Ovis aries: one gene and its partner. The protein of the gene in region 1 binds, or shares a complex with, the protein of each later gene. Links are inferred from orthologs where the notes say so. Each region holds a gene or a part of one and is shown on either strand. Other genes may lie near its edges.

The links. The genes of interacting proteins can lie anywhere in the genome.
Region 2: the proteins of ATP2A1 (region 1) and SLN are in contact, whole or in part, in a crystal structure (PDB 3W5A), measured with the Oryctolagus cuniculus proteins. The link is inferred for Ovis aries from reciprocal best matches to the Homo sapiens genes ATP2A1 and SLN. Residues at the interface, in XP_069919846.1 of Oryctolagus cuniculus: Phe88, Val89, Leu96, Ala100, Ile103, Val104, Trp107, Arg110, Asn111, Asn114, Arg324, Lys328, Trp794, Leu797, Gly801, Leu802, Thr805, Ala806, Phe809, Trp932, Ser936, Leu939, Leu943, Leu946, Ile947, Val950, Pro952, Leu953, Ile956; in NP_001075856.1 of Oryctolagus cuniculus: Met1, Glu2, Arg3, Ser4, Thr5, Arg6, Glu7, Leu8, Leu10, Asn11, Phe12, Val14, Val15, Thr18, Val19, Leu21, Ile22, Trp23, Leu25, Val26, Tyr29.

Annotation. Positions count from the first base shown.
Region 1 is NC_056077.1:26,456,785-26,460,533, forward strand, and holds the start of ATP2A1 (sarcoplasmic/endoplasmic reticulum calcium ATPase 1), read right to left. Parts: upstream 2,803-3,749; 5' UTR 2,615-2,802; coding exon 2,497-2,614; intron 2,218-2,496; exon of another isoform or gene 2,135-2,217; coding exon 2,117-2,134; exon of another isoform or gene 1,723-2,116; coding exon 1,640-1,722; exon of another isoform or gene 1,463-1,639; intron 202-1,462; coding exon 97-201; intron 1-96. UniProt on the Homo sapiens protein: Key regulator of striated muscle performance by acting as the major Ca(2+) ATPase responsible for the reuptake of cytosolic Ca(2+) into the sarcoplasmic reticulum.
Region 2 is NC_056068.1:16,907,511-16,911,259, reverse strand, and holds the start of SLN (sarcolipin), read left to right. Parts: upstream 1-1,015; 5' UTR 1,016-1,108; intron 1,109-3,749. UniProt on the Homo sapiens protein: Reversibly inhibits the activity of ATP2A1/SERCA1 and ATP2A2/SERCA2 in sarcoplasmic reticulum by decreasing the apparent affinity of the ATPase for Ca(2+). Also inhibits the activity of ATP2A3/SERCA3.

The sequences.
Region 1 (3,749 bases):
CAGGGTAAGTGATGGAGGAGGAGACAGGGAGGGAGGCTGGCCTCAGGTCCAGTGTCAGGATGTGAAAGAATGGGGTGGGGTGGGGTCAAAGCTAACCTGCCAAACCCCCACGATGGCATTGGCAATGAGGATCAAGAGGATGACAAAGGGTTCAACAAAGGCGGTGACAGTCTCTTCGCCTTCCTCAAACCAGGCCAGCACCTGGGGAGCAAGGGAAGGAGATCAACAGATAATAAAGCCCCTCAGGTGGTTAAAGGGAGCAGACAGAGATGAGAACACGTGCAGGAGCAAAGTGGGCGGGGCATCACGGAGGCACTGCAGCCCCACATCCCTTTAAGTGCCTACACGGTCCACTCCTTTAACTCACACAAGCGCAGCCACTGCTGTTATTCAGCGAGAACAGGCGGGCACAGACATGCACAGCTCGGGGATTAGCTGGGAATGCTTTCAGGTTTCCCTGACCAAGTTGCTGGCTTGTACACGAAGCTCAGGGGACACCCAGGCCAACTACCCTCAAGCCACATCCATCCCACGGGAGCCAAAATCCGATAGAAAAAACCCTGTGGTCCTCGCAGGCGCCCTGCCCACCCACAGCCCTCCCCCACAGCCTGAGGCAGGGAAGCTCCAATTTCATGAGGGAGCAGGAGGAGGGGATAGTGTTACGGGGCCTCCTGTACACACCCCACCCCAGCTGTTGCCACTGCCAGGCAACAGCCACAGGCAAATGTCAAGGAGCAAATCTGAGAAGGGAGAAGTGGGGTTCTGCCAGCTAGTACTCAGGGGCCCGCGGGGCCTCTACTACAGAGACCAGGGGACAAGGAGACGCTTTTGCCTCCAGAGTCCTGTCTTCCAGGAGGACTACGATGTTAAGAAAGGAAGTCCAAAATGCAGGCGGGACTGCTAGGCTGGTAGGTGCGCAGGGGAGCTCCAGGGCAGGAGCCGAGGCAGGCCCTTGGGAGGCGGGTGGGGGTAGCCCTGAGGTTGAGGAGGAAGGGGAGGGTCAGGTCAAGTGGACGAGGAAGGGGGTCCCGGGAGTTCCAGCCCTGATAGGGGTAGCTGGGAAGTGAGGCCCAGGGACAGGTGAGGGGTCTGGGCCTTTGAGCGCCTTTGGAGTTCCCCTCGCACCAGCAGCTCTTTCCCGCCTCTAGGAGGGAGTTTCTGTGTCGACCAATCAGCGTCAGGGGGGAGGGGCAGGAGCTCCGGGACGCTCGGGGATTGGCGGAGCCGTGTGTGAGCCCCGGGGCATGCTGGGAGCCGTGGTGGCCTGGGAACAGCAGTAGCATCTGAGCCCCGGAGCCCGGCGCTGGGGGGGTAACCCGAGCCCTCGGAGCCCTTGAAGCTCCGGGGGCGGCTTAGCTTCAGTGTTTTGGCTGAGAACATCCTTAAAGCTTAAAATAAAACCTGCCTGCGGGGTGTGGGGGAGGACAGAGGAGTATGCAAGTCAGCGTCATCCCTCTCCCTCAGTTCTAGTCTGTAGGACAGGATGCTGAGGGCTTGGACCAAAGGAGCCGCTGATTTGGGGCTGCCCACGAGCAGATTCTCCAGATCCCCCCAATCCACAGCTCAGGCCAGCCCCTAGATACACCCCCTTACCCCCCTGCCCCACCTGCCCCGCCGCACCACCGCGCAACACACTTACAAAGGAAATGCAGGCGGCCAGGAGAAGGATCCGCACCAGGAGGTCTTCAAACTGCTCTAACACCAGCTCCCACAGGGACTTCCCTGAGGGCAGAGGCAAGGGGAGGGGAGGGAGGTGGGGGGGCGGGGGGAGCGGTGTTAAGGTCTAACGGATGAATGCAGGGACTCCAGGTGCAGGCTGGAGTCCAGCCTGGAGCAGGAAAGGTCTAGGGTGATGGGCAGGCCATTTGGTACTGAGAAAAGGGCTGAGGGAGCTGGCCCGAAGTCCAGAAACAGGCTCCTCAAAGTGGTGGGCAGTTGTTCAAGGATTGGATGCCTCAAGGAGAACGTGCCTGGAAACTTCTGCCCCCAGCCAGACTCTAACCTTTGGGGAGGAACATTTGCCCCAGGAATTGGAAGGAGAGGACAGGGAGAAGGGAGTGGGGCCCAGAGGGAAGGAGGTGTCATTTGTGAGAGCTCAGGGCTTCCAGTAACTTACCCTCCTCGGCAGGGAGCTCTGCCCGGGGAAAAAGAAGAAAAGGATATTATTCATTTGGCATTCAGTCTAATGCCACCCACAACCAGGACTTTGTGACTAAGGTAAGAGAATCAGGCCACCAAAAAGCTGAGGTTCACCGAGGTTGTCCCAAAAAACTTGCCAAAACTCAGGGACTCAGGGATCCTGCTTTCTCAGTATCCTCCCCTCCCTTGCCCTCAAGTGACCAGGTCTTGCCTCTTCGCTAAGATACCCTGGAGGGAGAGGCTTTAGTGTGTGTGTGTCAGTGTGTGTAAGTGAGTCTCTGTGTGTGTGTGTCTGTGTGTGTATGTTGTAGGGATGTAGGAGGGTGTTACCAGCCTTTTCCTCCAGGGAACACTTACCATTATGGCCATATTTCTCCAGATGCCGCTTAACTTGGTCCGGGGTGAGGCCTGTAGTTTCGCTCACCCCAAAATAGGCCAAACATTCTTCTGTGGTCTTGGAGTGCGCAGCCTCCATGGTGCTCCCTTCCTGGGGGCCAGGGGGCGGTGTCTTCCTTCTGGGGGGGTTCTCACACGTCGGGGGCCTTCCTCAGTGTATCCACCTGCCTGTTTGTCTGGGTGTCTTCCTTTTTCTTTCCTTCCCCCCCCCAAGTTATTCTTCCCTTCACGAAGCTCTGACCCCCGTTCCACTTACAGCAGCCGGCCACCCCCCCAGCCCCCAGCTGGTCCTTATGAGGGAGTGGGGGGGCCAGGCTCCCCCCTCCCTCAGACCAGGGATTGGCTGGCCGGGACTCTAGCAGGAGGGGTCAGAAGAGAGAGATATTTCTGCTGACGAGGGGGAACAGTGGGGCTGCAGCCTGAGATGTCACTCATGAGGGAAGCTAAGGTGGCCCCAGCCCCAGGGAAGGGGGCAGGGAGAGACCTCAATTTCTGTCTTCTGCTGCTGAGCCCTTCCCCAATTGCCCCGACTTCTTGAGCTGCACTGAATTTCTTACAGAGTCACTCCTTCCAGTTCTTCCCTTCAGCCCACTTCTCTCTATTCCCTTTCCTCGAACCCCCTTCCCATCTCATCCCCTCTGAACCTACTTCTACTGCTGCAGACTCAGCCTTCCTTACTGAGTTTGTTGAAATGGCAGCAGAGATACCCAGCCCTCAAGGGGCTGAAAAGGGAGAGGACATCCTTTGGGGGCAAGAGGAAGTGGCTCTAAAGGGACAAGGGGAATCAGGGAGGGGAGAGGGTCAAGGGGACAAGGCAGAAGATGGTAACCCTACCCTAGGGAGGGGTTGCTGCAGCCATCAACAAGGGATTTAGTGTCCAGGCCCTGGTGAGCAGAGCCAGGACTGCTTGTCTCTCCCCTAAACCACCCCCCCACCATGGCTCTAACTCAACCTCTGGGAACAGAGCCTTCAGGGCCCCCCCATCCTTGAGAGGGAATCCCCCCCCAAGAAAATGGGATACCCAGGCAGCCGGGAAACCCAAGAGCCTACAGAATGTGCTGATGGCAGACAGAGAGGGATCAAAGTTTCAGAATGGGGGCAGGGGTCACCCCAAGTCACAGAATGAGGGTCACCTCGTCCCACGCTGTGCTCTCTTCAATCCACAGGGTTTACATGGCAGACCCTGGATGGCATGTGGTCTGCACTCCACCCTG
Region 2 (3,749 bases), on another chromosome or scaffold:
CCCAGGCAAGAAGACTTGAGTGCGTTGCCATTTTCTTCTCCAGGGATCTTCCTGACCCAGGGATGGAACCCATGTCTGTCGCACTGGTGGGCAGAATCTTTACCACTGAGCCAGCAGGGAAACCCTGTTAAACCCTTCAGAGGTTCCATTTACCACCAGACACCTAGAATGTTTATTACAAACTCATTTTAGTAGTCAAATTTTAGTAAATGTTTATGTTTGAATGTTACACAATTTTATTTCTTTCAGATATACTATATCTCACACTTTCCACTAGTTTTTACCAGTTCTCCTGCTACCCCCAATCTATCCAAATGACTGAGTTTTGCTGTATGGGTTTACTGCTGTATTAGTATATTGACAGAGATATATAAACCATGGCTTCTACAGCTGTTTCAGATGAAACTGTATATTGATGTGTAAACTTGCAACATACAGCTTAGCCAGAAAGTTATGTGGAACAGGTGACTGGGGAGATAGCTTTCACCACTTGGACTAAAATCAGTTTTGAAGGAGCTAAAAGATGCCTATCGAATTCTGGTGCATGTGTGTGGTTTGAGGAGTGCATGTGCACGGCAGAGAATTCTTTATACTTCAGAAACGTTGAAAACATGGGTGGTTAAATGAAGTTACACTTTTACACCCTCATATGCTAAGTGGAAGAGGCAGCCAAATGCTGTAAAAATTTGTTAATATTAGTCTATCACTCTTGGTTTACAGTGTTTTGAACACATGTTAGAGATACTTGTGAAGATGTAAAAGATGAATTTAAAACCTACATCAATTGTACCAAAAGTCAACTGGAAAGAAAAGGATTTTAAGTCCTTGAGCTTTTATTAATAATACAAATTCGCAGCCAAAGGAATAGCCTTAGTCAACACATTTTCATGTCCCCCTAAACACAAATAGCCTCCAACCTTTGGAGGTTGTTCCTTCGAGATGTTTCACCAGTGACATCACAGTGATTGCCACCTCCCTTGGACTACTTTAGGCCCTGCCCAGAGCCCAGAAGTCCAGACAGCCTGGGAGACAAGCAGGAGTTGGAGCCCAAGTAGGAGAGAGAGAGGAGAAGCCTACTGCAGCCCAGTGTGTCCTTGACCCTATTCAGGTAACAGCAGGATTTTTAAGCTTAGCATACAGTGTGTATGTGTGTACAAGTTGCAAATAAGAAAAGCACAGGAATATTTACATTTCTTAATGAAATAGACAATGCCTGTTGTACACAGTGTTTCTTAGACTAGAAAGAGAATATTATTGATTCTTGTTTTCCTTTTTTTCACCTTATGGCATGTGTTGTCTCCCTTCCTATTAAAAAATACCATACAGGAAAATATGTCTTCCATCTTTTCAAAGTCTCCATTCAAAGAAAGTTAATATCAAACAGTTTATTCAGAGTTCTTCTGTTTTTTTTCACTTTGAATCATATACTGTGATCTTGATGTCAGGAAAGATTTAAAATGAGGCCAAAATTGTCTTTGTGGGTTAACAGCAGAATAATGGAAGATTGCTGATCTGGGGTTTTACCTAACTGTGGTATAAATGTGTGTGAAATTAGAGCCCACTCCCTATAGTTAGCTTATATGTTGATTGAATTGGATTCACTAGAAATTCCCACCTTAATGCTGTGTTTTATTACTTTAAAAACATACAAAACAACAGCATTTAAGCTTACCATCAAAGGGCAAGATATAGTAAGAGGTAAACCATAGGTAATAAAGAAGTGTGATGAGTAGCTGTCAATTCAGAGACCACTGAAAAAAAATGTGAAGAGTCCATAAAACATACCCTTTGAACAATTATTGTAAGGCAACATCTGTATTAATATCACTCAGGTCAAGAAATTGTCATTGGCGCACTCCAGAATTCCATTCTTGATCACTTTTCCCTTTTGCCTTATCATCGGTAATCATCATCTTAATTGTTGAGCTAGTCTTATCCATGGTTTTCTTTATAATTTTACCATTTCTGTCTGCGTTCCTAAACAATATAGTTAAATTTCCTGTTTTGGGGTTTGAAGAAATAGAATTACATTCTGTGTTTCTTTTTGTAAATTCCTCTTTTGCTTCATAGTTATTTTTGTGAAATCCACCCATCTATTATGTGGTGCTGAGGTTCATATATTTTATTTGCTCTATAGCATTTGAAAGTATGAACATACCACAGTTCACATTCATTCTATTGCTGATGAACATTTGAGTTGTTTCCAGCTTAGGACATTATGAAAACGTTGCTATGAACATTCTTATATATATAAATCCTGGTATATATGTGCTTGAGTTTCTAAAGTAAGAGTGAAAGAGCCAGATAAAAGAGAATGAACATTATCAACCTCAATTTAAAAATGTCAAATTGTTTTCCCAAAGGTCAAAAATTTACACCAGCCAGGGCAGTTATTTGTGGTTATCATTCATGTTATCACTCCTACAGAGTAACCACAATCCAACAACTATTTCCAGCCTGCCAGTTCTAGTTCTGCCTCTAACTTGCTATGTGTCATCACACAAACAACTTAACCTCTCTCTAAAAGTCAGCTTCTTAGCAATAATCTTGGGAGAGAGAAAAATCACAAAACTTGCCTGAGTTGTAAAAGTCCGAATTGTTGGGAAGGTCACATGAACAAAGCTCTGGACAACTTTCAGCAACATTTTCTGAATGTGTTCCTGTCGTGTCACAGTCTCATAAGATTTGATGGGATAGTTATTTTGCCCTTCCTGGGTAAAATAATGGGTTGTTTTGATCATTGTAAATAAGGCCTCAAATTTTTTACATATCTTTGTACTTCTTTGGACTTACTCAAATAAATTAGTGTTTGGACCAGGATTTAACTTCATTAATAAATCCATAAGGAAGAATCTGCTTTAGAGTCTTTAGATTCTTTTGTTCTTAGGCTCCTTGCCTGAATTAATCAACTTCCTGTCCTCCTCTGCTCTGATGTACATGCTTATACATTCTCTCTATTTCCTTAATACTTCATTTTCTTCTGTTTACTTTCTCCTTCGAGCAAATCTTTGTAAAGGTTTTCATTGGAAATGGTGTAGAAGGCAAAAATATAAGTAAGAATTAAAAGGAAAGTGAATGATGAATCAGTTACCATTGGTCATATTTTAAACCAACATTCAACAACATACCTGTTAATATAATCTTATTGGAACTTATGTGTTATACCAACAATAACATAAGACATTAAAAAGGATCGTTTGACTGGTTTATGCAATTAATAATTTGGTACACTAACAATAAAAGAAATATAGTAATTATAATTCATAATTCAGGGGAGACTTCTTCCCCCTGAACTTCCACTTTAGAAAATAAAACACTTTTTCCCCTTAAACTTTTTCTACTCCATAGTAGACTTTTGCTCTAAATAGTTAAAATTTTATTTCTAATCTTTACTTTCATTTGGTTTGCATATACACAGTGTCAATTATGCCACATCACTGGAAGTAATAATTTAATGTTTCTCAAAGCATGATTTTCCACAAGTATCATCTATACAGACTATAAAGATACCACCCCCACTTTTTGAAGTGTTTACAATATAAGCACATCCTGGACTTGACTAAAAATAGCTGGCACAAGCCCTTGTTGAAATAGAAGTACCCATGGGGTTAACACTTGCTGTTTGGACTGAATGCCTGTTATGTGAGGGACTTTTTGTTGACCCCAGTAGGCTCTATGCCCAAAGCAGGGATTTCAAGAGGCCAAGCAGCTGTTGAAACTACTTAATGCTTTCACAGGGTTAGACAAAG